Linked DNA regions of Rattus norvegicus. Each later gene encodes a partner of the first gene's protein in a complex. Links are inferred from orthologs where the notes say so. Each region holds a gene or a part of one and is shown in the gene's direction. Other genes may lie near its edges.

Region 1 (3,397 bases):
ACAGGACCCTCCAAGCCCTGTCTTCAGGGCCTCTATTCTAGGTAGAAGATGGACCCGTTTCTAGATGGGGCCAGCCCAGAGGCCGTGGAGACCCAGAAGTCATCTCTGGTTGGTCCCATGGCCTTATATGGCAGAGGGGTTAGAGCTCTGCTGTAAAGGCCAGGAGAAGCTAACTAGTCCCAAGGACAAAGGCAGAGGGTGGAGGCAGAGAGCCGGAGACGTGGGTATTAGACGACGTGGGTATTAGACGTCTGCGGGAGAGAACAGCAGGGGATGGGGAGGTAGGGACAGAATGTAGGGCCTTGGCTGCAAAGGTGCTAAGACTCTCTCCTGAAGGCTCTGGGGAGCCCAGGAAGAAATGGATGGGTCAGATTTTCCCCTTGGACAGCATACTAGTTTCTGTGTGAGCACTGAGTCCTTGTTGCCTCAGTTCTGGCCTTTGGTAGCTTCCTCCCTGCTTGCTTGCTTCTTAGTCTCTCTCACTTAGCTGTTCACCAGCAAACCCTAGGGGCTCTGAAACCCACTTCTGCTTCTCACCCCATTCCTTCTGCTTCTCACCCCAGCCACCCCACTGAGCCCTCTCTGCCCTTCTTCTCTCTTTTTTTTTTTTTTTTTTGTTTTTTGTTTTTTGGGTTTTTTTTTTTTTTTGGAGTTGGGGACCAAACCCAGGGCCTTGTGCTTGCTAGGCAAGCGCTCTACCACTGAGCTAAATCCTGCCCTTCTTCTCTTACCTGGACCATTCTTCCTTCCCGTCTTCACTGTGCTCCCAGACCCAGGCATCAGGGTCTGGGACTGCACCGGACCCTGGGAGGACACAAATACGACCATGTTCTTCCTCTGCACAGAACCTTCCTGCAGATCTCCTGTCTCTCAGAGCAAACGCTGGAGTCTTCTCTAGCATCACATGGCCCCATGTAATCTGGAGGTCACCTCTGTCCTTTGTCCCCCATGACTCCCTGTTTTAGTCCCGTTGGGCCCACCAGGCCAGCTCCTACTTCAGAACTGTTGCACTGACGATCTCGTCCCCCTAGGTGCCTAGCTAGCCCACTCCTTTAAGCATTTCTATACCGGTTGCATCCTGGTTGCTTTGTTTGCTTTTGAGAACATAGTGCAGGCCAGCCTGGAACCTCAGCAGCCCAAGTGTGCACCCTTCCAGGTGAGGTCTTCCTGTATAGCCTAGAACTCATGTGTAGCCCAGGCTAGCCTTGAACTTGCAGGGATCCTCTTGCCTCTACCTCCCAAGAGCTGACAGTCCAGCTGTACACTGCAGTGCTCAGCCCAAATGTCCCCATCTTTAGTAAAGCTTCCTTTAGCTGCTCCCCACTTTTCCAAGCTACATCTCCACCCCTCCCTTTCTGGCTGTTGTTTTTCCCCAGAGCGGTTATCACCATCTGACATACCCTATAATTTACTTATTTACTATGTTGGTTGTCTAGGATGTCAGCTTCACAGGGCAGGAATTTTTGTCTGCTGTGTTCATTGCTGTGTCCCCAGCCTGGAGAACAGGGCCTGCCAGGGAGGAGCTCAGGGTAGCGGGGGACCTGGGCTGCACGTCCAAGCATTGGACTGTCAGGCTGGGACATTCAGCTGTGCTCTGAGGCCACTAGGAACCTAAAGAATGGGAGAGATGGTTGCACTGGGGAAGAAAGGAAACTTGAGTCAGGTGGGCGAGAGCAGAGCAGGTCCATAAGGAGAGAGGGCAGAAGGGGTCTTAGCTGAGGTCCTGACCTGGGGGCTTTGGAGAGAGAGACCATGAAGGGAGGTGAGATGAGGCCAGCCCTGATGAGTTTTCACACTCGAGAGCTTGGACTTTGTACTGTGGCACAGGGGAGCCATGGATGGGTTTTGAGCAAGAGGGTAATGTGGATTTCTATAGATCCCTGTGACTACTATGTGGAGTGGATGGGAGATGAGAACACAGAGAGGAAATTAAGGCAATAATCCAACGTAAAAGGGCTGTACCTTAGTCTCTACTGGTTTCAAGGAGATGGGAACCCAGGGGCAGGTCTGCCTCCTTTGTCCTTTTTTCTGACCCCTCTTGTCCTGCAGGTTGGCCTCGACTTCATCTCCAGGTGTGGTCCCAGGACAGCTTTGGCCGCTGCCAGCTTGCTGGCTATGGCTTTTGCCATGTGCCTAGCAGCCCAGGCACTCACCAGCTGGACTGCCCTACATGGAGGCCCCTGGGTAGTTGGAGGGAGCAGCTAGCACGGGCTTTCGTGGGTGGCGGGCCACAGCTGCTGCACGCAGACACCATCTACAGCGGGGCCGACCGCTACCGCCTGCACACGGCCGCGGGTGGCACAGTGCACCTTGGTATCGGTCTGCTGCTGCGCCACTTTGATCGCTACGGTGTGGAGTGTTGAGGGACTTCACTGCCACCAGTCACCATCATCCACAGCCCTGCGCACACGACGGCACAGCAGTGAAACAGGCACATAGACTCTGGAGACTGTCAGTCCTGATCTCACCCAAGTCATGGCCCTTATGCCATGGACTGCAAGGCCAGGAACTACCCCTGTGGCCCATGCTCCACTGAATTACCGGGTAAAAGTCTGTGAGTTGGAGGGACTTGAGGAGAGCATGCTGTTTGGCACTGTCAGGGGCACTTAATAAAAGCATGCATTTCTCATAGGTAAGGTGTCCCCTCGTACCCGCTGCAGTTCTCAGATGTCCGTCTTCTTATTTAATCCTCCTTGACACTTTCATCAGCAAACCCAAAGTCTGCCCCTACCTTTCGCTCTATGCCTCCTAGGCCCTCTAATATAGGACCCTGTTTTCTCACGAAGTCGCAATTTTCCCTTTGACCCTTCAACAACTCCCAAACCCACGGGGGGCGCTTCTGTTGGTCACCAGCTCTAGTAGTGTTCCGCCGCCAGGAGGCAGCACCCTGGAGGTGGGGCGGGGCCGGGGTGCCCGCCCCCTCCCCGCAGGGCTGAAGAGACCCCCCTCGGAGCCCGCCCACGCTAGATGAAGACAGTGGCCCCCCCATGCCCTCCCCCTGGGGCTGCCCCCGCCCCGCGTGCGCTTCCTGGGTGGGGCCGGGGCGGCTTCAAAACCCCCGCCGCCCCAGCCGGTCCCGCCGCCGCCGCCCTTCGCGCCCCAGGCCGTCCCCCTCCTCCTCCCGCCGCGGATCCTCCAGACAGCTAGGCCCCCGGCCGGGGCAGGGGGGACGCCCCTTCGGGGCACCCCCGGCTCTGAGCCGCCCGCGGAACCGGCCTCCGCTGGGAGCCGGCAAGGGAGCAGCGGAGGAGCCGTCCGAGGCCCCAGAGTCTGAGACCAGCCGCCGCCGCCGCAGGGAGGAGGGGGAGGAGGAGTGGGAGGAGGGACGAGCTGGTTGGGAGAAGAGGAAAAAGTTTTGAGACTTTTCCGCTGCTACTGCAAGTCAGAGACGGGGGGA
Region 2 (4,289 bases), on another chromosome or scaffold:
CAGCTACAGTATACTTATATGTAATAAATAAATATTTTTTTAAAAAAGCAAAAAGCTGTGTGTCAACTCCTTTATTTTAACTTTATGTGTATGGGTGTTTTGCCTGCGTGTATGTCTATATACCATGTGTACCATATGTATGCAGTGCCCACAGAAGTTGTTGGATCCCTTGTGACTGGAGTTACAATTGGCTATGAGTCACCATGTGGGTGCTGAAAGTCAAACCTAGATCCTCTGGAAAACGGGCCATTCTCTCCAGCTTACTTACATGTTATAACATTTATTTAGTATTTATGTAATATTCAGATAAGCACCATGACAGGCCTGTACAGGTCAGAGGACGGCCTTTCCAGAATTAAGAGATATAATTGGTGGGCGCCGGAGAGAAGACCCAGGGGTTAAGAGCTCTGACTGTTCTTGCTGAGGACCTGGAGAAAGAATCAACGGCCAGCACAGTCTCCATGGTAAGACCCTACTTCAAAACAGATAAAATCTGTCTTTCACGTTAAGATATTCCTGTTAGTAGTTACCTAAGTGATTCGCTAATGCTAACTTTGAGGAAGACAATATCAGCGTTTATACCTAAGTACACCAGAAGGAGCCGTGTAGTAAATTACCCTCAAACCTTTGAAGAACCAAGGGATTTGTTTCTCGTTTTCTATCTTTTCTGCTACGGGGCAAAGTGAAAGCACTAACTTTGAAGGCAAAAGTACCTGGTTCTAGGACTGTGGCCCTTTTATAAGAGTGGGGGGGGGCGTTGGGGGGGTTGGGGATTTAGCTCAGCGGTAGAGCGCTTGCCTAGCAAGCGCAAGGCCCTGGGTTCGGTCCCCAGCTCCAAAAAAAAAAGAAAGAAAAAAAAAAAGAGTGGCCGGACTTCAGTATGAACCATACTGGAGTTTTTCCATTGAGATACAGTCCCGCATATCTCCGGCTGGTCTCTAACTCAGTGTCGCTAAAGATGACTTTGGACTTCCGGTCCTCCTACCTCCATCTCAAGAGTTGCTAGTATTACAGATGCGGGTCACCATGCCGGGTTTAATGAAGTGCTGGGTATGAACTCAGGGCTTCCTGCATGGTAAGCTAGCTAGCCTTTTACCAACTAAGCTATATCAACCATCCTATGTTGTGAGTTAATAGATGACCTATGGGGAGATGTCAACATCTATGCACATCTGATTTTGTACAACTGACACAGACTTTGGTGAGTGGAAATGTTGTTTCTGTTGCTTTCTTGAAGGGACCCACGGGAACCGAATCAAAATGCATGTACTAACTAACACAGAAACCTCCTCCCGCTAGCTCCACCCCTTACTAAAGGCCTGCGTGCCTGCTATTGGTTCCTCTGCCCGCCGTCGGTTGCCGTGGAGACTCCGCGCTGCGGCCCTGGGCTCATGGCGCTGTACCATCTCTTCTCTCACCCGATCGAGCGCGCCTACCGCGCGGGGCTCTGCTCCAAGGCCGCTCTCTTCCTGCTGCTGGCCACCGCGCTCACCTACATCCCCCCGTTGCTGGTGGCCTTCCGGAGCCACGGTAAGCCTGCCTGGGTCTGGAGGGCCACTCGGTTCGGCGCGGCCCGCGGGCCCAGGCCGGCTATCCTGACCCGGCTCCCCCAACACGCCTTGTCTCCCGCAGGGTTTTGGCTGAAGCGCAGCAACTACGAGGAGCAGCCGAACGTGCGCTTCCAGCACCAAGTGCTGCTGGTGGCTCTACTGGGGCCCGAGCCGGGAGCCTTCCTCGCCTGGAGCACGTACCCCACTTTCAACCGGCTGCAGGGGGTTCACCTGCGCGTTCCGCTCGTGTCGGTGCGTGGTTCCCGCCCGGACCCTGGGGGGAAAGCATGGGGTGAGATCCCAGTTGGGTCATTTGACGGGCTGTGGGGGCAGTCTCATGTATCCCAGGCTGGCCTTAAACTATATAGCCGAAGTCGTTCTTCAACAACTGATCCTCCGGCCTCCACCTTCCCAGGGCCAGGAATTTCTGCTATGCAACGCCGTGCTGGGGGTTGTGGGGTGCTGGGAATCAAACCCAGGGCTTTTTGCTTGCATGCGAGCACTTTACCACTGAGCCAATGCTCAGTCCCACAGCTTGGATCTCAAGGATCCACCGGGGTTGGAAACAAAGTCTCTTTGGCCCGCGCATGCTTAACTTTTTAGATAGTTTTACTCAGCTTCTTGAGGTGTCCCCAGACAATCAACCATGCAGGCGGTATGTTTGGTGGATTTGAGTCCAGAAGCCAGAGCACTGCCTGTCTCTGGTGCTGGTCACTTCTGAATGAAAAAGTGGCTGTGAAAACCCTTTTAAGGGCTTGAAGGCCGGGTTCTGTAGACGCCAGGATGTCGCTGAATTTGAACATCACCAGGCTGTAAAGACAGAAAGTGCCCGCATTTTTTATGCAGACTGGACGTAGGGTAGGGAAAGCGCTGATTGGTTGAATTCTCGACTCCGGCTCTGGCCAAGCCACGCCTGTCTGGGTTAGGCTCCTAACTGGGTTCCACACTGCAGCTGTCTCCTATGAAACTGGAACATTTTACTGTCTGCAGTTTAGTGTTTGCTTTCGCATAAATCAAATGCTTCCTTACATTTCCTTTAGTCGTATGGGACATCTGGCTTTCCTACATTCAAATGTGGATCCATTCGGACAGGTCTGATTATTAGCCTAGAAGGCAAACTCCTGTAGCTGAAGGGGCGGGTGCGTGGCAGGGGTGTCAGACTTTCTCCCCACAACAGGTAAATAAGATAGCAATATGCAAAATCTAATTCAGATTACTTGGTTCTCATATATATATATATATATATATATATATATATATATATATATATGTATAATTATTTTTTTCCTTATCACAAACCTGTTGACAGAAAAGTGAAGGCTCACTGTGGTTGGTATATGTATCAGTACTTGTTAACCAACCGAGTTTGTTAGTTTTAAGATCTGTAGCTTATTCAATGACATGAGCAGAGTGATGAATTTAAATTGCCCCTCCCCTACGTACACAGCAAGCTCAAGGCTATTCTGTGTCAAAAGCCGGAGCCCTGGCTCCTGAAGTCAGAGGCACAACATGGAAGGGGTCGGTTCCCTCCTGTCACTCTCCCAGGGATCCAGCTCAGATTCCCAGGGTTGGCTGCAAGGGTCTTTACCTGCTGAGTTATCTCATTACCCACCCTTACTCCTTGATGTGTTTTTTTAAAATTTTGCCCCAATTATTTTTATTATTAAAATTATTGTATGAATTAAAGCTTTTAACTAAATCTTACGGCTTTTTTATTCTTTTGTTTGTTTTTTTCTTTTTTTTTTTTTTGTTTGTTTTTTCTTTTTTTCGGAGCTGGGGACCGAACTCAGGGCCTTGCACATGCTAGGCAAGCGCTCTACCACTGAGCTAAATCCCCAACCCCGGCTTTTTTATTCTTTTTGAGATGGCTTATTGCCTTGCTTGTTGCCTGCCCAAGCTGGCTTTGGCTGAAGCAGTAAGTCCCGTTCAGCCCCCTAAGAAGCTGGGACAACAGACGAGTACCACATGCCCAGACTTATGTCATACACCTCTGAATGCCAGCGGAAGCTTTTTGTTGAAATTTCATGCACATAGAGAAAACAAAGCAAGCAAAGAAAACAATTATTTCCTGCAGGGAAATAAACCTCGCGAAGAAGCAAGGAAGGAGATGCAGTCAGGGTTGCGAACAGGACTTGCATAGTCATCGTCTTAGACAGAATGCTGACTAAGCAAAATGTGCATCTAGGGAAACTGAAGGGATCAGGGGAGCGGGGAGATGCCATGGGGTCTGGTGGGAAGGGGAGGAAAACGAAGGCTCCGGCCTTCCCCTGTGGAATGTCGGTAGAGAATACTCAGAAACAGAAGTAGACTCTCAGCAAATCTTATTAAAAACATCGGGAAACAGAAGTAGACTCGCAGCAAATCTTATTAAAAACATCGGGAGAGTGCTTCTTTGTTTTCGTTTTTCCGAACAGGGTTTCTCTTTGTATCCGTGGTTGTCCAGGAACTTGCTCTGTAGACCAGGTTGGCCGCGAACTCAGCAATGCCCCTGCCTCAGTCTCCCCGGTGCTGGGATTAAAGGCATGTGCCACCATCACCCAGCCTGGGGAGCAGTTCTAACACAGTCATTAGGTAACTGGGGCATAAGTGTTTGCTTTGGATGTTAATTGTTTTTTTTTGTTTTGTTTTGTTTTTTTGTTTTTTGTTTTTTTTTTGTTTTTTTTTTGTTTTTTTTTTTTTTTTTTTTGTAGCATCACTGAACTCTTTAAATCTTCAAATGATTAAGGCTCTTCCCCCACA
Region 3 (3,803 bases), on another chromosome or scaffold:
CAAAGTGGAGTTGGTTTGTTGTTTTTATTTTTTTTCCAGATAGGGAAAACTGGGAAAGAAATGTGAGTGATTAAACTCAACTAATGATCTTATTTTGTTTACTCAAGCAAAGTGGAATAAATTCTATTTCAGATGTAACATACAATCACAGTATTCCTTCAAATGTAACTATTTCCTCTAATAGTTTCTTTAAAATGTCATTCTCTATATATTTGTGCTTCTTTCAGTTAGGCTAATATTTTGCCTAAAATTTATAATTAAAATTGTTATTATTCTTCAAGTATTGAGTTTTTCTGGGGGGGGGGGGTGGCTAGAGATATAGCTCAGTAGTTAATAGCTCTGGTTGCTCTTGCATAGGACCCAGGTTCGATTCCAGTACCCACATGGTGACTCAAAGCCATCTGTAACTCCAATCCCAGGGAAACCGAAGCCTTCTGGCCTCTGTTAGCATGAACATGGTACAGACACATATGCAGGCAAAGCCCACAGACATGTCAATACAAATACTTAAAAGATTATTGTCTACTTGAGCTACAGAAAAAGTATTACAAAGGCAAAAGTAAAATACAAAGTAATTAGTAGATTTGATACAATTAAAATGAGACAATTTTCTTTTAACTTTTGCTTCCCTGCTAATGAGCCCTGTTTCCTGTGTAGACTCACAGCAACCTGACATCTTGCCAAGCTCTCGGGAATATGTGCGTGATGAACATGAACTCTTACGACTCGACTACATTCGATGCTTGCCGACTGTTCCACTACGTCTTCGAAGGCGCTGCTGGGCTGACCGGCGTGCATTCTGTCCCGTTCTGGTGAGGGTACTGGGATTGATGAAATACTCCCAAGTGAATTCAGTGCTATTTCATGAATGCTAATAATATGAACTATTGCTTCCATTTATTAAGCCGAGTCTGATTGTTTGTAGGAGACAGAACCTTCCTTGGCTGTTTTACGGAGACCAGCCAGGATTGGCTTCTCAAGTTCTCAGTACTACCCCTCTTCCTACAAATTTCAGTTTTAAAGGACAAAACCAGGTACAAGTCCCTGTACAATGGGAGCAGTGACCACACATGATCTCCAAACTTTAAGATAGAAAACTAACTATGGCTAGAGGTAGGGCTCAGGAGTGGCACGCCTGCCCGACCTACATGCATAGACCTGGCTTCAATCCCTCAGTCCCCAGTGTCAGAAAAAAGACACAATCACTAGTTATACTTGTTTCCAAGATTTTTTACATAGTCAAACAATACAAACATATTGTTTAAGTATTTAAACATACTTAAACATACAAAGTTTACATACTCAGCTATGTAAATATCAGCTGCTCATAGAAATGAGTGCGGGGTTGGGCTGTCTCACTTTGCTGCATAGACATCTGGATTGTGTGGGCATGGTGGTCCTTGGAGGGTTGGGAAGAGGCATTTCATCACCTAATGCAAACACCTGTCTATCACATGTGCTTACAGAATGTCACAGACTGTCACAGCTCCTAGTTCTCACCTCTAACCGTTGAGCTTTCCAGAATAAGGTCCTATGTCTTTCCCCATACTCATCTCATGTAACAGATCTGAGAGGAAGGTACCTGCCACTGTGCTGCCCCTAAATCCTAAAATAACACTTCTGCAAAACACCAGTCCTGTTTAAAGTATATTGAACTATATAGATAGTAGGGTTAATTTCAAATAAATGAGGTGGGATTTAAAATTTCAACAAAAACAGTGCTAACATTGAAAAGGTAGTCAGTAATGAAAACTACCCTCATAGCGTATTTAACTTAATACTGCTGTTGTTCTCTAACCAAAACATAAAGCTGAAGTTTGTTGCTGCTTCCTACGATATACGAGGAAACTTCATCAGATGGCAAACTGTAAAAGGTGGTGTTCTACAGGTAAGTATGAGTCCAGCTAAGGTATTACTAATGTACTTTATTTTTGTCTGAAGCAAAGAGTAGAGGAACAGACAGACAGAGTATTGCTTGAAGAGAATCAGTGAAAGCATTCCTGATGCTTTAAATGAGAACTTTAAAGTTACAGTCAGTGTGTGTGTGTGTGTGTGTGTGTGTGTGTGTGTGCGCGCGCGCGTGCGCATGTGTGTGTGTTCATGCATACATGTTACATGTAGGAAGGACTGAGGACAATTTGTGTAAATCCGTTCTCTCCTTCTGGTCCCAGAGACTGAAGCGTGGTGGACCGTGCCCTTACCTCCTGAGCCATCTTGCCAATATTAAAATTGTTAATACATCCTTAGCTTTTTGTGGCCTTCATACATTAAAAAAGTAGAAGATAGGGCATCTGTTCACATGGGAGCCACAGAGCTCTTCCAGCAAAGGCGTTTGTGAGAGACACTTACCAGTTGTATTCTCTATCGAAGCTTTGTCCAGACACCGAGAGAAGACTAGATGCTGCATATTCTTTTGGAACAACGTACCAGCAAAACGTGAGTGTGACTCTGTTAGACAGCCTGTATTTCCCTTCATTCAAGTGACTGGAATGATAGGTGAATTTTTTTAACTCAAATTATTTTAATAGTAAGAACAATTTCATGAATTAATAAATCTTCTATGGTCTGGGCATAGAAAATGTTGAAGACGAAAGTTCCTTAGCATCTACAGAGTTAAATATTCTACAGTGTGTGACTTTCAAGGTCAGCTCCGCAACTGCACGCAGGTAGGCTTCTGTGTCCTCCACAGAACGCCCCTGCTGAGCGCTCCGGAACAAATGTAAAATACTACCTTGTGTTTAGAGGCTACTAAAGACGTAATTCTCTGCTCCGTTTACCGCCCAACAAAACAACAGTGCCTCCTTCTCTTTCTTTTACCACATCCCGGTTGTGTGTAATTTTAAGAACACACTACCACCTTTGCCTGTGAGCCGCTGCACTACCAGCTGCCCTCTCCATCCCCCCACCCCCACCCCCGGCTTAGCTCCAGGGTGGCCACTGCCAGCCCTGAGCCAGCCTCTCTCTCTACCCACCTCAGGTTCCGGAGTCTCGTCACCAGCTTCCACCCAAAACCCTTGAATCTGCAGACAAAAGACACGCAGACCGCTCTGTTGCTTTACAACCTGCCCACGAGGCACAATTGCTGGGCACAACTCTCTCCTGCCTGGAAATCCGTGCCCTTACCAATTTATTATCTCCGTCTCTCCTTCTGTCCTAGACTTAGTGGCTTGTTCCAAGTAGCCCTGCCAAGTGTCTTGGGCCACCCGCCCCTAGCTGAGGCTGCAGGCCCTGTCTCTCCCCGAGGCCTTACATGATTGCAGCATCCTCCTTCCCCCAAAGCATGACAGAAAAGCCCCTTCTCTCCTTCTCTGCACCTCCTTTTCCTCTTGCGACCCAGAAATCCCGCCTGTACCTTCCGCCCAGCAATTGGCTCCTGGCCTTCTTTATTGACAAATCAAGAACCAAATAAGGAAGGAGACCTTAGTATCAGAACCTCCCTTACACACACCAGTCTCCAGACTTCCCTTTCTCCTTCCTGTCATGACTTTCTTTCACTTTGACACTGCAGTATGGTACAAATGGTAACATTTGAAAGATCTCAGTAGCATATAAAAATGTTTCTTAACGTCTTGTATGTGCACACACACAGAACAAAACCCCAGTGAACAGTGCCTTCCTGAAAAAGTCATTGGAGGAAAATAAACATTTTTATTGATTAATATTGGACAGTTGTGCCAGAGATGATTTTTGTTTTATATCTTATATTTTCCTAATTTTCTACCGTGAACGTGAATTTTATGGTCAGAAGTGGCCTACAAGGTGTTTTGACATCTTTTTATAACAGTGTGGACTACAGGAAGGGA
Region 4 (4,603 bases), on another chromosome or scaffold:
TGCTCTTCCAGAGGTTCTGAGTTCACAGCAACCACATGGTGGCTCACAACCATCTATAATGGGATCTGATGCCCTCTTCTGGTGTGTCTGAGGACAGCTACAGTGTATTCATATATAATAAATAAAAAATTAAAAAAATCTACGTTGTTGTTATTTAAGTTACAAATACTATACTGTTTGTCAAACATTCCACCAGTCTTTTATAATGAAAGTGTGAGTGTGTGTGTGGGTGGGGGGTGTCTTTTGTCTGGTTTGGGATCTCATGTTAGGTTAGGTTTATCCCCCACTCAGTGGGAAGAACTCCAGCCTGTCTTTCATGACCTTTAAGTAAAAAACGTTGACTCTGCATTCTAAATGTTTTTACTCACTGGTTTAGGTAAGGGGACCCCATGTATTACTTTAGGGAGACAGAAACATTTCCTCTCTCTCTCCCCCTCCCCCCAATTCCTTGAAACGAAAATTTAGGAATTATCTATTTCAAAACTTTCCTTTGATATTATTCTAGTGTCACCCTTTAAAGTTTTTAAATTTACAGCATACATTACCTTGCAGGGTTTTGTTGGGGTTTTGTGTGTGTGTGTGTGTGTGTGTGTGTGTGTATTTGTTTGTTTTGTTTTGTTTGTTTGTTTTGTTATCAGTCTCTCTGCCTAGAATATAAACTGGAGGGACTTTATCGATGTATTCTGAGTCAAGCACAGTGCCTGGCATCTGGGAGACATCAGATATTTGTTGAATGAATGAAATCCCTCTGGGTCTTGTCTTTTAGGCTGGTTTAGAGGCACACACACACACACACACACACACACACACACACACACACACACAGAGAAATGAGAGAAGAGGGGGTGCAAAAGGAGGAGGTTCATTGTCAATGGGACTTGATTGTGAACTGGGATGGTAGTGAGAACTTTCCGATCGCAGGCATTTCATCCGAAGCCCCAAATCAGTCACATCACCCTAAGAAGAGGTTCTGGGTCTGTAACTGAGCAATGTCCGCGGCCTGGCAACTCAAAGCGAGAGTGAAATCGGTGGTGAATCAGCCTGGTTTAAGCCTCCCAGGGGCGCACAAGCTGTTCTAGTCCCCCACTCCATTCTTCACCTTTTCAGATCCCTTGGGATCCCGAGGAGGCTGTCACCTCATCCACCCACATCCTATTCTACCCATTCCAAGGTTGCTCATTTCTGCACTCGGCAAATCTTTCATGAAACCGAGACAAGTTATTTAGGGAGAAATTAGAGTCGTTCATCGGCAGAGGTTTGGTCTTGGGTGGGAGAGGGAGCCCTCTGACAACCAGGGGCTGTGGGGGGGGGGCGGGGAGGGCTTGGCGAGACTGTGGGGCAAAGCTCGGTGCTGAAGCTCTACTCCTTCGTTCCCTCATCTCCTGGCGCCCAAGGCAGTGAGTGGGAAGCACAGGAAAAGGGAGGATTTGGTGGTTACGGGTGCATCCTCCCGGATTCATCCCACAAGCACCAGGAGGTGAGCATCGGCTCGGGTACCTGGCCTATAGACATCTGCAGAGGGCGCAGCACTATCGCGAGACTTCCGGAGGCAGCTGCATGGCGCCTGAGGACGCAGTTACCATGGCAACCGGGCGGCGCCTGAGCACGCGGGAAGGAGGCTTAAGTAGAGAGGTCTGGCCTGCTTGCTCTGGGAGACTTGATGAGTGACCCTCCTCAGACTTCTACGGCCTCCGCTTTGGGCCCCCGAGGCCATGGGTCGGATCTCCGGGCTCGTGCCCTCTCGATTCCTGACGCTCTTGGCTCATCTGGTGATTGTCATCACTTTGTTCTGGTCCCGGGTAAGACGTGGACAGGGCGCGCGCGCGTGTCTTCTTGTCCCTCCCATTCTCACCTTAGAGTGGACCCAGCTCAGCTCAGTCCACTCCCACAGACCCACACTGGGTCCGTTGCTCCCGTCCCCCGCAACCCCATCCCTCTTTTGACATTTCTTTCTTTCTTTCTGCCCGGCTCACCAGGAAAGCAACATCCAGGCTTGCCTGCCTCTCAAGTTCACCCCGGAGGAATATGAGAAGCAGGACAACCAGTGAGCTCTTGGGGCGGGGTGAGAGTGCCAGGGTCTTCTACGCAATCCGGAAACCCAGGTCCATCACCCTTTCTCTCTGCAGACTGGTAGCAGCGCTCTGCCTCACCCTGGGCCTCTTTGCAGTGGAGCTGGCTGGCTTCCTCTCAGGAGTCTCCATGTTTAATAGCACCCAGAGCCTCCTCTGTATCCTTTCTGCCTGGCCAGCGTCCCCATGCGACATCATCACCACTCACTCTTTCCACTTCTGTAGGCCTTTTGGGCACAAGTCTCTGCCCTACGTGGCAAAGCGAATCTCTCTAGGTGAGAGGTTTTAGACAGTTTTGGGGAATTAATAGACTTCAAACCTTAAACCCTGATGTGAGCCAGGTTCTGGCGATCCATGAGTGGGAGTAAAACCACTTTATCCTGTTTGAGGAAGAGATGGATAAACATCTGTAAATCAGTGTGATTAAACAGTATTCTGTAGGAGTGTGCAAAATACAAACCATTGTGGGAACTCAAAAGGGACCAAGAAAATGAGACACATAGGAAGGTTCTCGATACCCGGGTGTGATGTTGCAAACCTTTAATCCTAGCACTAGGGAGGCAGGAGCAGGTGAATCTCTAAGTTCGAAGCCAGCTTGGCCTACATAGTGAGTTCCAAATCAGCCAGGGCTACATAGAGAGACCCTGTTTTTTAAAAAAAAAAAAAAAAAAAAAAAGATAGCCGTTGACTCTGAGTTGTGGACAAGGAGGACCAGAGCACTGGAGAAATTCCCACAGTGTATCAGACCTGTAGGTATTCTTGTGAGGCCTAGGGCATATGTGACATTAACTCCCAAAAGTGTACAGGGAGAGGTCCTATCAAAACAAACTCAGCTCTGGCCTCTTACACATAAGTGTCCACAAATTCAGAAGGCATGGCTGCCAACTCTGGTGTTTGTCTTAAGGGAAGGGAACAAGCTGAGCCCAAGTCCGAGTACTAAAGGGACCCATCACTTACCTATTATTTTCCTTGACTCTGCTGTATTTTTAAGCCATTGCAGCCCACTGTAGCGCGTCTGTGGCCCTATCTTTCTTCATATTCGAGCGATGGGAATGTACCACGTACTGGTACATTTTTGCCTTCTGCAGGTTATTTTGGAATGGAGGGTGGTGGAAAGTCTACCCCAAATCTGAAGGTTTCCCCCACCTAGACCTTTCCTGCACATGTGAAATTGGTAGAGTTTTAAAGAGTCGTACCCATCCGCTAACCCACTCACATATAAGGCTTGGAGGTTTGAGTGTTTGGGTCGGAAGGGGCTCTAAACCCACCCCCTACTTCCACAGCGCTTTTCCAGCTGTCACTGAAACTGCGTTATTCATCGCTGTCTTTGGGCTGAAAAAGAAACCCTTCTGATCACAATCCGATGAAGAGACCAAAGCCGGAAACGTGATGAACTCCCTCCCATTGCTGGAAGAAGAAAGGGAGAGGCTTCAGTTTTCTCTCGCCCTAGTCTTTTGCTCCTCCCAACTGCGTCTAAACAGAAAATGGCAATGTTGGGATAAGATCTCACAAATCTTGGGTTATAATTTTATTAGAGTTTTGTAATAAAATTCATTTTATAATAAGAGCAAGGCTTAGACTATTTGTCAGAAGACCATTGGGTAAATCAAAAGGCTGATGTAAATAAAGGCTTTTTTCTAGCCTTCTGTACGTGAGCTAGTAGCTTATGCTTCTATTTGGATTTTTACGGTACAAAATAGGCGGAAGTGAGTGGGCGGGAATATGTAAATAAGAACCTCACATAGGGCTTCTAATTTGCTGTATGTGAGCGGAGCATTATGGGAGAACTTTGTTTCTCTCTTTCTGCGCCGAATGGAAAAATAAAATATTTCAGGCGACTTGCAAATAGATATTGCTCTTGAGTTGCAATAACTATAAGTCATTGGGTTCGTGCTAAATTGTCATATTCTCACCCTTTCTTTAATATGGAATGTCTTTACTTAATTAGGAATGGGCTCCCTTTGTCCTTTATCGTCAGGAGGTTAATCCTTACCTGTTCCTCCTCTCGGAGGGCAGATAGAAAATGATGATTGGAGCTTGCATGATCTGCTGATTAGCATTTCCGTGTAATCAGGACCTGACAACATCCTGATTGCTCCTATCTGATTCTCTGACGATCATATTTATTTCGCATGTACTGACTGATAGAATTTAGGAATTTTGTCCTGTGCTCCTGAAATTTCTCCTAACACTGGTCAGAGCCATGACTTTAAGGTGCTTTTAGTAATTGTGTATATGACTGACTGATTGCTCAGACCTTATTTCTATGACAACAAGTGCCTTGCTGCTGATTGTTTGCCCAGCTTCTAGAAAGCACTCTAGGCTCGGTGTGGGGAAAGCAACCTTGGCCCCTCCTCATGCTTACCAGGAGATCCTTTCTGATGAGGCCTTAACCCTTATGACCTAAAGCGTCTCTTGCCTTCATCCCCACATTTCAATTCAATGACCTCCTTACCGTAGGCAAAGCCCTATTAACAATACTGAGAAAATAGATGTGATATGACCTATACTCAGCTTTGGGCATATAGAGACAT
Region 5 (4,507 bases), about 130 Mb from region 1:
GCAGCATCATTTTCTTAACCAGCCAGGTGAAATTAGGGCTACAGACTATATAATCTGTTGACAATGGATAAACTTTTCACTGTAGCATGAGAGCTATCTGTGTACACAATATGTGTAGGCAGGGTGATTTAAGACCCATAATTTAAAAAAAACAAGCAACTGGTCCACCTTCCTTTGCTCTGAGGTTCAGAGCAGGAGGTGTGTAAAGGTAGCACAGTTGGGGTGCAGGAACCAGGGTTCTTTCCATCACCTCATCTTGCCCTGGTTCTTGATAGTGGGGATTAAAATTCCATTTAGGACCTGCCAGAGCGTTGTGACACCCACTTGAAACTCCAGGACTGGACGGGAAGCAGAGGCAGGAGAATTTGAGGCCTGCCTAGCCTACATAGGGAGATCTGTCTAGTCAAACTAAACCAGACCAGAATAAGCCAGTGAAGGAGGCAGGAAAGCAGAGGTGGAGGTGGGGAGTGATAGAAATAGGCTTCTGCTTAAATTATTCTCTCCAGGTGAGGAATTGCTTTAGGTCTTTTTTTTTTTTTTTTTTTTAAATTTGAGTACACTGTAGCTGTCTTCAGACACACCAGAAGAGGGCATCAGATCCCATTACAGATGGTTGGGAGCCACCATGTGGTTGTTGGGAATTGAATTCAGGACCTCTGGAAGAGCAGGCAGTGCTCTTAACCGCTGAGCCATCTCTCCAGCTGCTTTAGGTCTTTGAGAAGCAACAATTACTGCTTTTATTCACTAGGTAGGGAAATAACACTTTCATTACAGGTTAGTTACTCTCTCCAGTTATTTGTTGTCTGACTGCCATACTCTAAGGGCTGACTGCAGAGTCAACCCATGTCTTTTCAGAAGTCTTACTCTTTTACTCTGCGGCCTGCAACAACACGCTCTTGCTTCGAATTGCGGCCAGGATTCTTAACTCAAGCTTGTTGGAAACATCTCTCAATTTCTACCTGGGCATAAACTGTCTCCCTTCAACACCTTTGCACTTTTTGGGTGGCAGGAGAGCCACGTTATAGCACCGCTGTTTACCACATGTCCTAGAAAGGTCATTCTACCTCCAGTGGTTTTGGTGTTTCCACAGGATTTTGTTGCGTCAATGGGCCCTAGGTAAGCCTTGTGCACAGTGGCATGCCGTGCTGCTTTTTTTTTTTTTTCTAAACTAACACATGGCAGTAGAAAGAGAATGGTGGGCCTGGGGCCGCTCCTCCAAGTATTCGGCCGCACCCGGCCAATGAAGCCCAACACCATGACGCCAGGGGTGGAGAGTTCAGTTCGAGAGCTGTTTGGGTCTCCTGGGCTCTTTCTGCCTTCGTATATAACCTTATCCTCTCCCTAGACCACAGTCCGCTGTTGACCGCGGGCGTTGCTCCGTGCAAGGGCGCGGCCGGTGGGGTAACCATAGAGTAGCACTCGCAGGCAGAGCGGCCAGAAAACCCGGGCGCCTCTGTGCCGCGCTTCCGGCAGCGCTGCATTGCCCCGGGCGCTGCAGCGTACGCAGTTTCCATGGGGACTGAACATGGCGCCGCGAGGTGAGACTCTGGAGGTGTGTGTCTCTGCCCCTTATATCCCACTGGTACCTGCCAGGCCCCTCTCCAGAGCTCTACCTAATCCTCCATTTCTAAAAGTTGGGGTCTTACTCTTCACTTGTCCGAATTGGGCTTGGGTTGCTCAGACCACCCCGAGTGGCTGCATGGATACTCGGATACTGTACTCTTAAAAATTCCAGGCTGGCCCTGCTCTGGGATGGCCCAGTTACGAATCCTCCGGCCTTGGACAGAATTAAGCAAATTTCTGTGCTCCAATGTCCTCTTCAGTAGTGACAGGGTTGAATATCTGAGGTGCCTCTCGGCTGTGATTATAGCTTAATTGTCAGAGAAGTCGACCTTAAAGTGATTCCTGGGAAAGGAGGTTGAAGGCAGTTCCCTTCACATCAACACTCTTAGCAACCAGAAGTTTCTCCCTCATTCACAATAACCTTGTGTTTTCTACAGATTACACAGAATCATTACACAGAACGGGGCAGAGCTCCAGCTGCCCTGTCCATTCTTTGTGTTGCTTTTTTTTTTTTTTTTTTTTTTTCCCAGATAAAAGATTGTCCTCAACCCCTCTGGAAATCCTGTTCTTTCTGAATGGGTGGTACTATGCTACCTATTTCCTGCTGGAGCTCCTTATTTTCCTGTACAAAGGTAAGGCTGGGCCTAACTGGCCTGCTTCAGCAGCCCTTTTCTACTTTAGCCTACTCCAAGAACCTTCTATCTTCTGGCCCCTGCAGCATCTCCACTGCAAGGCAGAAGTCTCTCCAACTAGTGGCTTTGGAATGATCAAGTAGGAAGTCTTTCAGCAAGTCTTGAACTTGAGAAATGTGGGCTTCCCCATCCCTCTTTACTGAAATATTCAGATCTGTGTACCGTTATAATTCAGTCATTTGGGAGTCAGGACTTCTAGACTTAAAGCCTGTGGCTGTAACAATCTATACCTTGCTAACTGATTCATGAGAAGTTAAGACTAGTATCCTTGTCCCTGGATGTGTGGCAGCCTTGTGGGGATGTGGGGGCTGTTTACATACTCTGGCTTTTACACTTGTAGGTCTCCTGCTGCCATACCCAACAGCCAACCTAGTCCTAGATGTGGTGATGCTGCTCCTTTATCTTGGCATTGAAGTAATACGATTGTTTTTTGGTGAGTGTTGTTCAGAAAATATTTCCATTGCTTATGAGACATGCTGGAGCCTGAAACTTGATAACCTAGGCTCACTATCAGAGATTGGGTCTGTGTAATGTATACCATTGATTGCTTCCTCCCTAAGGCTTCAAGCTGCTGCTTTGTATTTTAGGTCAAGATTTACCTGTGTGTTTCTAAGTGAGGCTAGAACTGGCAGTAGCATTTGATCTTAGCTCATTCCTTTCCAGTTGCCTGACTACTACAAGAGTGCCTGCTTCTTCTCCTTGCTTTGTTTGAGAGAGTAAAGCAGTACATTCCTAAAGAACTCTAAGGTTCCCTCCACTTCTCTAAACAAGGATTCCTCTAGAAGCTTTTAAACACCAGAGACACAGAGCAAAACTGCTGATTACTTAGAACATATCATCCCAGTGTTAAGATACAAACCCAAGGGAGAAAAATGGTAAGGGACACTAAGAGTCAGTTCACATATAGAAGACCAAAAACCTTGCTAAGGTGAGCATGGTGGCACATGCCTTTAATCCCAGTACCCACTGACAGAGGCAAGAGGATGGCTATGTGTTCCTAGACATAGTGAGTTCCAGACCAGACAGGGATGTATAAGGAGATCCTAGCTCAAAACAAACAAACAAACAAACAAACAAACAAACAAAAAAACCTGCCAATGTGATCAAACTTAGTAAAGAAAAGCAACAAAAACAAGGGAAAAAAAAGCAAAGAAAAACATGGTAACATTTTTTTCTTTTATATATTGGCAATAGTAAGAAAGATTTATACAGTACAGAATCCATATTTGGCTTTTAGAATACATATTTTTTAATTAAAACATTGTTTTATGTCTATGGATACTTTGCCTGTATGTATGCCTGTATAGTACGTGTATGTCTGGTACCCACAGAGGTCAGAAGAAGGTCTTGGGCTAGAGATGGCTCAGAGGTTTAAAAGGACTTTTAAACCTCCTGCTTTTGCAGGAGGACCCCAGTTTAGTTCCCAGCATTCACATTAGATAACTTACAACTGTCTAATTCCAATTCCAGAGGATCCAATGTTGTCTTCTGGGCTTTGTGGGCACATACAAGCACAAGTAAGAATTAAAAGTTATTTAGAGAGAGAGAGAGAGAGAGAGAGAGAGATAGAGAGAGAGAGAGAGAGAGAGAGAGAGAGAGAGAGAGAGAGAGAGGCGTCAGATCCTCTGGAACTGAAGTTACAGAGTGCTGAGCTGCCATTGAGTAAACCTGGTCCTCAGGAAATCAGCAAGTGCTCTTGACCACCCAGTGCTCCTTCTCTGTAGCCCTAAAGAACAGACATTTTTAATGCACTTAAATTATTTTCCATATGAATTGAAGTTTTAACGTACATATACATTTACATACACACATGTATATTATAGCTATACATATTTTACTTTGTTTATAAATTATGTGTATACATGTGGATATAAACATACATGTGTATACACACAGATACGCAGTTTGGTTTTGGTGTTTTGAAGCAAGGAGACCAGGATGAACTTGAATTCTCAATTCTGACCTTAGCCTCGTGCATGCTGGGATTATAAATGTGTACTTCTATGCCTGGCTCATATGTTGCTTTTTTTGTCTTTTTTCTTTTTTGAAACAGGGCCTCTTTGTGTAGCCTTGGCTGTCTTGGAACTCTCAATATAGACTAGGCTGGCCTCAAACTCAAGAGATTTTAACTGTCTCTGCCTCAAACATTTTTTTCTTGATACAGAATCCCATTGTTCCTGGATAGAGTCAGAATGAAAGCAGGGCCTCTGGAGTAAATGACTTTAATCATGTAATGCCCTGAAACCTCAAAG
Region 6 (3,803 bases), on another chromosome or scaffold:
GGCTGGGTGGGTAGTGGTCATTGCGTATTGGGCAGTGAGAAGTCCATACCAGGCATTTTGACTTCTCTGGGGTTTGGTGGTTTGGAGAGTTTTATCAGTGGTAATGCAGCCATGCATTAATTTACAATTAATTTTAAAAACACTATAAAGATCAAAAATGCCTTCCTCATATCTCACGTGGATATTATTCCATAACACCTTAGATAGGCAAAGAGATGTCATTTTTATTGGTCAAATGTTTTGGATCTTAGAAAACAAAAACTAAAACAGGTTAGGTCAGTCTCTGGGGTCCTTTCTGTGTTTCCCGCCACCAATTTCTAGACCCGCAAACAAAGGTAGAACTACTCACCACCACCACCACCACCACCATCACCACCCTCCCCACACTCCTTCTCTAGAAAATTAACCTGTAATGTTTTCTGCTCCATGAGCAAGATTTTCATGTTAAAAAAAAAAAAAAGCCAGACAGATGGCATAAACAACTAAAGAAGAAAAGCTGGCTGCCTGTGAGTTCTAGTGACCGCCCTGTAATACAGTAATACTGTAATACTGAAATACTGTGCAGTTACTCGGAGGGTCTTAGGAATAGGAAAGCGTCCCCTAGAGAAGTGTCAGGGTGGAGAGCATGCAGAGTGTGGCCAAGCTTGTTCTTCCAGTGTAAGGCCTTCTGCAGATTTGGGGACAGGGCTGGAGGTGGGGCATGCTGATTCCCTCTAGACCTGATACCTTCCCATTTCCCTCTGCTGTAGATTGCCCCGGGTGCCCTCCGGCTCTTTGTGAATGGAGAGGTAGGTAAGTGTCTTATCTTGGAGCCAGGCTAGGTAGAGAGTCTGTTGGAGCTGAGAGTAGCTACTCACCTTGGCTCAGTTTGGGCTGGACATGGTCTTTGGGAAGCTGAGTGATGAGTCTTCTGGAAACTGAGGCTCCTGGGCCCCGAGAAGGCTTTCTTTGCAGGGCATTTGGGCCCTTCAAGACTAGACTGAGTAGCTGAGTGGTGGTGATACCCAACTTTAATCCCAGCACTGGGGAGGCAGAGGCAGGGGGATCTCTGTGAGTTTGAGGCTAACCTGGTCTACAGAGTGAGTTCAAGGACTACACAGAGAAAAACTGTCTCAAAAAAAGGAAGAAACAAAGGAAGGAAGGAAGGAAAGGAAGGAAGACAGACTAGACTGCGTGGTAAGGGTAGTAAGAGAGCAAGCTAAACTTACATTCTGCTTTCTCTCTCAGTCTCAGCCCGAGGCTATGAGCATGACAACCTCTATGTCCACTTCTTTGTGGAGCTGCCAGCTACGAGTAAGTGCTTTTCAGACATTTCTGTTCTGACATTCTGTCCACTCCCACTGAAACCAGTCAAGGTCACAGGTCACCTCCACATTTCAATTCTAAAGGTGCCCCCGTCCTTCCACTACATTGGCCTGTCTGAAGCACCTGACATAGCTCACTTTTCTTTATGAAGCATTCCTCTCGGCTTCTGGCACCATAGTCCTGCCTTCTCACTGAGGGCTCTCCAGGCTGGGTGAATTTCTTCCTCTCCTGCTGGCCCTAAACTGAGCACCTCTGAGGTTAAACCTGACCTGTGTTACTTTCTACCTCTCTAGGGGACGACTGCACCCATTCCATAGCTTAATTACACCTATGTCTCTTGCCCTGTTCATAGGCACAGTAGGTTATTAGCTCCAGGAGAGACAATCTGGCTGTAAAAGCCTCCAAACATATCAGCCTACAGCAGACTCAACAAATGACATTGTGTGGACCAGTGGGTGGGCAAATGAATGTGTGAAGGAACCCTGCCATGGCTTTGTTTGCTCACATGGCCTCCCACCCTCTCTCATGAGCTTACTGTGTCTGCTCCTTGGCTTCCAGACTGGTCCAGCCCATCATTCCAGCAGCTCTCGGGAGTAACCCAGACCTGTGTCACCAGATCCCTGGGAATGGTATGGAGGGTGAGAGGGTGTCTGCCAGGGGATAGCAGCTCCGGGTGGCATTTGAAGCTTCATCAGGCCAAACCCTGTGTTCTCTGTGGAGGAGCCATAGTTGGGGCTGCTTCTGTGTGGGCTCCGTGGGGCTGCTTGGGCCAGAGTTGCTCTTTGATCTCTTAGAGAATGGCAGCAGCTCACATTCAGCTGTGCCTTTGCCTGTGGCTTCCTACCAGTCGGACAGTTTTCCTTTCCCCTGTGTGAAGGTGACCTTGTCACTGGGCACAGAGAACCCCTTCCAATGAGGCTTTGTCCTCCCTGTGACTGAGTTGAACATGACACCCCACTCCTCTTTTCCAGGACAAGGTGGCCTATTTCTCCTTTCCATTCACGTTTGAAGCCTTCTTCCTCCATGAGGATGAATCAGATGGTGAGTAACTGACCCTCAGCCTCACTAATCCACAGCCAGGGTCCTCTCTTAACAAAGGTCCCTGTGCCACCTCATTCACATTCCAGAATCACTCCCAGAGTGGCCCGTGCTCTACTGTAAGGTCCTCTCACTGGACTTCTGGCAGAGGTATCGTGTGGAAGGCTACGGGGCTGTGGTGCTGCCTGTCACCCCAGGTAACCTCTTGTCCCTGCCCTTCCCGATGCCCTCTCTCCTATCGACAAGACCAGCACTTCCCAAAAACTCTGATGCTCCTGATAAGGAGAGAGGATTAGGAACTGGGAGCTCTAACTGGAAAAATCCCTTGCTGCTTTGTGGAATTTCTCCCTTCCCATAAGAGACACTGTGAAACCGGAACTGACCTGGTCCAGCAGCCTGATGGGCTGTCACATACCGCAGTCCTCCAGTTAGACCTTGAGAGAGAAGCTGCACCAACCATAGAAGTTTCTGTGTGCCAGGGACTGTAGTAAACCCCCTCTAATTCTCCCAGCCCCTCTGTGAGGCGTAGTGTCCTGATTGCTTCTACATTTTACTAAGGTCAAAAGAGAAGCAGGTTCTCAGAGGTTGACAAGCTTGTCTAGAGCACAGCGATGCCTGGAATAGCTCAGATTCTGTCTTCCTGTCTTCCAGTCAGGCACTGTCACCCACCACGCTAACCTTTGCCAGGTCATCACCAACCCAGGTCATTGCTGGGAAGTCAGGGATGGAACTCGGCCCCTTCCCCCTCTTCCTTGCACAGGATCACACACCTTGACTGCCTCCACGTGGAGGCCCATGGAGCTGGGCCTCGTGGCAGAGCTAAGGAGGTTCTTCATTGGTGGCTCCCTGGAGCTGGAGGACCCATCCTATGTGAGGATACCAGGAACCTTCAAGGTGACTCATCTCTGGGGAGACTTCAGGCTGAGAACTTACATTCCTGTTTGTGGCCCTCCTCTCATTGTTGAGCGTGCTCATGGTACTCATGGTATATAGCCCCTGCTTATGGCCTATGCTGCCAGGCCTGCCCATATTTTAGAGGTACAAATATCTATACAAGGGGTCCTTGGGGAGCTGTGTAATTAGAGATCTCTTCTTTCTACCACTGAAGGCCTTGGTAATCGGATGCAGAATGAACTTGCCAGAAGCACTCTTGCTTCTTGCTCATTCTTAAATGAGGGTGGAGCCTGGCGCCCCTTGTGATGCTGCTGTCTGAATAACGGAGTAAAGTTACTCAGTGATGCTGTACTACCTGAGAATAGGAATCCAGATGGCAGCAGCGCCCTGGTCTAGTCCTCACAAACCATTCTGTCTCCGCTGTCTGCCCAGGGGGAGCGGCTGAGCCGCTTTGGATTCCGCACTGAGACGACGGGTACGGTCACCTTCCGGCTGCACTGCCTGCAGCAGTCCCGGTGAGTGACACTGAGCCCCTTGGGAGCCTTGAGCCCTTTGTCACTGAGTGC
Region 7 (3,803 bases), about 73 Mb from region 1:
GAGACAGGGGCGTGCGCAAGAGCATACCTGCTTTCCAGTGCAGTCGTGAGGAAACTGTTGGGGTTTCTGCAATGGACAAAGCCGTCTAGAGAGAATGAAGAGACCAGGGTTATAGGCTCACAGTAAGTGAAAGGAGCTGGTCAAACAGAGGGAGTAACTCAAGCATTCAGCATCAGTCTGACATCTGACAGAAGAATGCACATTAGTAGGTAAGGATGAACCAGAGAGACTTGGTAAGATAATATTAAAGTTATTCAAAGTAGAATTGGCCATTCCTAAGGAAATTATGTAGCAGCGAGGTTAGTGAGAAAAGGTCAGACTGGGGCTGCGATACCTCAGGGAGCAAGTGCTTATCTCAGAAGCATGAGCTTGAGCCCCGAACCCAGGGGAAATGCTAGACACGATAGCACATGGCTGTAGTCCAACCCCAGTGACATGGAGAGGGAGAATCCTCAAGGGGTTACTGGCCAGCCAGTAGCCTAACTGGTAAGCACCAGGTCAGTGATGCTCCTGCCCTATTGGGGTGACTAATGCTGTGATGACACCACGAACAGAGCTACTGGGGAGGAAAGGGTTGGTTTGGCTTACACTTACAAGTCACAGCTCACCACTGGAGGATGAAGACTGGAGCTCAAACAGGGCAGGAGCCTGGAGCAGGAGCTCCTGTAGAGGCCATGGAGGGGTGCTGCTTACTGCCTTGCTCCCCGCGACTTGCTCAGCCTGATTCCATATATATACATGGGCATTTTGAACACTTTTAGTGAAATAATGTACACTAAATAGCATCTTACACATTTCAGATTTTAAGAAAGGTAGACTCCATGAGCCATTACCACAATTAAAGAATTTCTCTTTTTTTTTTTAAAGTATCTTCCTTCTATTTCTTCCTTTCTGTAACTACTGTCCCCTGACAACCAGTGAGCTTTCCTCTCTCCTTCTAGAGTTTCAAGTTTCACAACTTACCTGTTTATTACGTGTTAAAAGTTCTTTGAAGTCTCTAGTTTGGAGCCACTGCAAATATCAGTATTTGTGTACAAGTCACCGTGTACACATTTGCCTTCGCTTCTCTTGGGTAAACAATTAGGACCGGAATGGCTGGGACTGTTTTCCTACGTTGTTTATTGGTTTACCTGTGTGCAAGGTAGTTGTGCTTCCTCACCAGTACCTGATAGACTCAGACTGTGGTTTCAGTCATTGGAATTCAAGATGTGTCTCACCTGCTTGGAATTTGCATATCCTTAACTTACGTATCCATATATATTCTTATTATTTCTTTAGTAAAAGAAATGTCCATATAAATAATATTTTACCTATTTCTTTTTCTACATATATTCCTTTACTTGGCAGTGCCTGTGTGCCAGGGTGTACATGTGGAGCTCTGAGGACAGCTTGAAGGGGTCAATTCTTGCCTTCCACCATGTAGATTTGGGGAATCAGACTCAGGCTGTCACATGCTGAGCTATCTCTCCAAACCTGTCATTACTAAGCTTCACAGATACACTGTGCCTTCAAAATATTGCCTATCTTCCTGACTTTCACATGACTGCCTTCTCGCTATGGCTTCATGTGTCCTCTGTGGGCACACACGTGGGGAGTGTGCATGCATGTGCTCCCAGGCAAGGAGATTCTAGTGTCTTTTCCTCCTAAAACACTGGTATGGTTCTGTCCGGAGAAAACTGTATGAACTTGTCCACCCTCCCTAAAAGTCCCTGTCCATCCGCTCACGGGAGAGCCAGGGCTCGACATGAGTGTGCTATGCAGTTTTGCGCACACAGTGGTCTTTATCATCCCTCCTGAAGGCCTGAGTTTTAAATTTCTCCATCTTTTTACCTTCTGTTCAGGAAATCCCCACCTTTCACACGTTCTCTAGAGAAAAGACTGGTCTCTTAGTTCCTGGGTTTCTCTCTTTTCATGTTTCTGTATTCTTTTTCCTTACATGTAATGTGCTACAACAAACCATGGTGTATGTCTTGCTGTTTCCATTGCTTTTCATTGCCTTCTGCAGTTGCTGTGTGAGCTCACCTAGGAACCTCTTCATTCCACCACTAAGGAGAATCCTATAACAGCATGTTCGCCATCTGTGTTGATAAAACTTTCTGGTTTTCCCCATGCAGCTAAATGTTTTTCAGAAACAAACAGGCAGAATTTGTCTAGCTCCTGTCCCTTCTCTGTGGCTAGGATGGAGCAGCTGTCCCCACTGCTCTGGGTCATCCCGTGTGTAGCTCTGCCCAGTGGTTCCCTCAGCCCCTCCCCCCTGTCATCTGTGTCCATCCCGTCCCTTCCCTACATCCACGCCTTATCTCATCCACTCCAGCCGCTGCCTTACGGGCTTCTCACTCAGCCTCTTTCCTTCCTGTAGTTCTGAAAAGGGCAGAGATCAAAACTTCGAGGAGCGAGGACACAAATCGGATATGGAGATGAAGAAAAGTGAGCCAACGGTCCGCAAAGTCACCCTGATAGAGGTAAGAGAAAATCAGCAGAAAGGTAGCAGTGAGAGAAAAGAGGAGGAAGTTATTCCATCACCAAGAACACATGCCAGACAGCCTGGTCTACATATGCCAGAGAGCACCGGCCTGGCCAGGGAATGGCAGCCAAGAAGCCATTGTGGCCTTGCAGGGAGTGCTGGTGGACAGGCAGTAGTGTAAGTTGGACTGTCATCAACCTGAAAGGAAAAGACCACCAGAATAGTCTTTCTGTCCAAAACTCTGGGCTGTGAACAGGGAGACAGACTGTATGGTATCGAGTAGAAAACACAGCGTGGAGATCTTTCTACAGAGAGAAGATAGGAATATCTGCAGAGAGCCGAGAGCCCCTTGAAAGCCTGTCCAGGTGTGGGAGGAGGCCTGAGAAGCACGCGGATTTATGCTATAAACCAGGTAGTGGGCTGCGCTTACCTCTGAGATAGGCCTTGGGCATGGAGTTGGTGGGCAGGCGTAAGAAACGGAGGGAAGCCTGTGGGCGCCTTCGTTTCTCTGTAGGCAGACATTTGTTGAAACAAAATGTTCAGTGTTGTGACCCTAACTGTGCTTGATAGAATTAGACTGTTTCTATAACGTTTTCAATTAAAAATAAGTTAATCTACTTGTATAGAAAACCTAGATGAATAATTAAATAATCCTGAGAATGGTTTTGTATACAATCATGCTAGAAAACATTTCAGGCTTTTCTCTGGGCTTTGGTTGTTTTTGCTGTGTAGCTGTGAGGGCTGTTTGTTAGGGAAGGGCAGCTCCTGTCTCCTAGGCTGGCCTCAGGCTCTTAGCGTCTGAGAACCTAAGGTGACAGCTACACGCCGTACACCCTGCCAGCTAGGGATCGTTTGAAACAGACGCTTGGATTTATGCAATGGAAACTTTAAAATCATGCGTGTCAGGGGTGCAAACAGTGACGTCAGGAACCTGGCTCAGCAACTGCAGCTCAGGCTGTACATACATACATACATACGTACATACGTACACACGTACATACGTACTTACATACATACGTACATACGTACATATGTACACACATACATACGTACATACATACATACAGGCAAAACACCCGTGCCCATAAGAATAAAAATAAATTTGTTTTTAAAAAGAATCTGTGGGGCTGGGGATTTAGCTCAGTGGTAGAGCGCTTACCTAGGAAGCGCAAGGCCCTGGGTTCGGTCCCCAGCTCCGAAAAAAAGAACCAAAAAAAAAAAAAAAAAGAATCTGTAATAATAACTGGGCTGAAATAGAATGTCACCTAAAGGATTTGTACCTGTAACATATAGAAAGCTCCAAGATATCATCAGAGAAAGAAACATATCACTAAGAAAA

What was found.
Region 2: B9d2 (region 1) and Tmem231 share a complex: the UniProt entries of both Homo sapiens proteins name them as parts of the tectonic-like complex. The link is inferred for Rattus norvegicus from reciprocal best matches to the Homo sapiens genes B9D2 and TMEM231.
Region 3: B9d2 (region 1) and Tmem67 share a complex: the UniProt entries of both Homo sapiens proteins name them as parts of the tectonic-like complex. The link is inferred for Rattus norvegicus from reciprocal best matches to the Homo sapiens genes B9D2 and TMEM67.
Region 4: B9d2 (region 1) and Tmem107 share a complex: the UniProt entries of both Homo sapiens proteins name them as parts of the tectonic-like complex. The link is inferred for Rattus norvegicus from reciprocal best matches to the Homo sapiens genes B9D2 and TMEM107.
Region 5: B9d2 (region 1) and Tmem216 share a complex: the UniProt entries of both Homo sapiens proteins name them as parts of the tectonic-like complex. The link is inferred for Rattus norvegicus from reciprocal best matches to the Homo sapiens genes B9D2 and TMEM216.
Region 6: B9d2 (region 1) and Mks1 share a complex: the UniProt entries of both Homo sapiens proteins name them as parts of the tectonic-like complex. The link is inferred for Rattus norvegicus from reciprocal best matches to the Homo sapiens genes B9D2 and MKS1.
Region 7: B9d2 (region 1) and Ahi1 share a complex: the UniProt entries of both Homo sapiens proteins name them as parts of the tectonic-like complex. The link is inferred for Rattus norvegicus from reciprocal best matches to the Homo sapiens genes B9D2 and AHI1.

What each region holds. Positions count from the first base shown.
Region 1 is NC_086019.1:90,320,509-90,323,905, forward strand, and holds the end of B9d2 (B9 domain-containing protein 2), read left to right. Parts: exon of another isoform or gene 1-1,611; intron 1,612-1,962; exon of another isoform or gene 1,963-2,049; coding exon 2,050-2,363; 3' UTR 2,364-2,635; downstream 2,636-3,397. UniProt on the Homo sapiens protein: Component of the tectonic-like complex, a complex localized at the transition zone of primary cilia and acting as a barrier that prevents diffusion of transmembrane proteins between the cilia and plasma membranes.
Region 2 is NC_086037.1:56,810,607-56,814,895, reverse strand, and holds the start of Tmem231 (transmembrane protein 231), read left to right. Parts: upstream 1-1,380; 5' UTR 1,381-1,391; coding exon 1,392-1,530; intron 1,531-1,632; coding exon 1,633-1,802; intron 1,803-4,289. UniProt on the Homo sapiens protein: Transmembrane component of the tectonic-like complex, a complex localized at the transition zone of primary cilia and acting as a barrier that prevents diffusion of transmembrane proteins between the cilia and plasma membranes.
Region 3 is NC_086023.1:30,365,942-30,369,744, reverse strand, and holds part of Tmem67 (meckelin precursor), read left to right. Parts: intron 1-657; coding exon 658-812; intron 813-925; coding exon 926-1,034; intron 1,035-1,810; coding exon 1,811-1,888; intron 1,889-2,370; coding exon 2,371-2,436; intron 2,437-3,803. UniProt on the Homo sapiens protein: Required for ciliary structure and function. Part of the tectonic-like complex which is required for tissue-specific ciliogenesis and may regulate ciliary membrane composition.
Region 4 is NC_086028.1:54,269,615-54,274,217, forward strand, and holds Tmem107 (transmembrane protein 107), read left to right. Parts: upstream 1-1,581; 5' UTR 1,582-1,712; coding exon 1,713-1,799; intron 1,800-1,976; coding exon 1,977-2,044; intron 2,045-2,102; coding exon of another isoform or gene 2,103-2,126; coding exon 2,127-2,227; coding exon of another isoform or gene 2,228-2,344; intron 2,345-3,060; coding exon 3,061-3,157; coding exon of another isoform or gene 3,158-3,352; coding exon 3,353-3,422; 3' UTR 3,423-3,906; downstream 3,907-4,603. UniProt on the Homo sapiens protein: Plays a role in cilia formation and embryonic patterning. Requires for normal Sonic hedgehog (Shh) signaling in the neural tube and acts in combination with GLI2 and GLI3 to pattern ventral and intermediate neuronal cell types.
Region 5 is NC_086019.1:216,623,522-216,628,028, reverse strand, and holds the start of Tmem216 (transmembrane protein 216), read left to right. Parts: upstream 1-1,509; 5' UTR 1,510-1,525; coding exon 1,526-1,538; exon of another isoform or gene 1,539-1,552; intron 1,553-2,093; coding exon 2,094-2,195; intron 2,196-2,595; coding exon 2,596-2,688; intron 2,689-4,507. UniProt on the Homo sapiens protein: Part of the tectonic-like complex which is required for tissue-specific ciliogenesis and may regulate ciliary membrane composition.
Region 6 is NC_086028.1:73,158,985-73,162,787, forward strand, and holds part of Mks1 (tectonic-like complex member MKS1), read left to right. Parts: intron 1-749; coding exon 750-792; intron 793-1,227; coding exon 1,228-1,293; intron 1,294-1,863; coding exon 1,864-1,943; intron 1,944-2,276; coding exon 2,277-2,346; intron 2,347-2,432; coding exon 2,433-2,540; intron 2,541-3,103; coding exon 3,104-3,237; intron 3,238-3,669; coding exon 3,670-3,752; intron 3,753-3,803. UniProt on the Homo sapiens protein: Component of the tectonic-like complex, a complex localized at the transition zone of primary cilia and acting as a barrier that prevents diffusion of transmembrane proteins between the cilia and plasma membranes.
Region 7 is NC_086019.1:17,703,825-17,707,627, forward strand, and holds part of Ahi1 (jouberin), read left to right. Parts: intron 1-2,359; coding exon 2,360-2,462; coding exon of another isoform or gene 2,463-2,645; exon of another isoform or gene 2,646-3,769; intron 3,770-3,803. UniProt on the Homo sapiens protein: Involved in vesicle trafficking and required for ciliogenesis, formation of primary non-motile cilium, and recruitment of RAB8A to the basal body of primary cilium.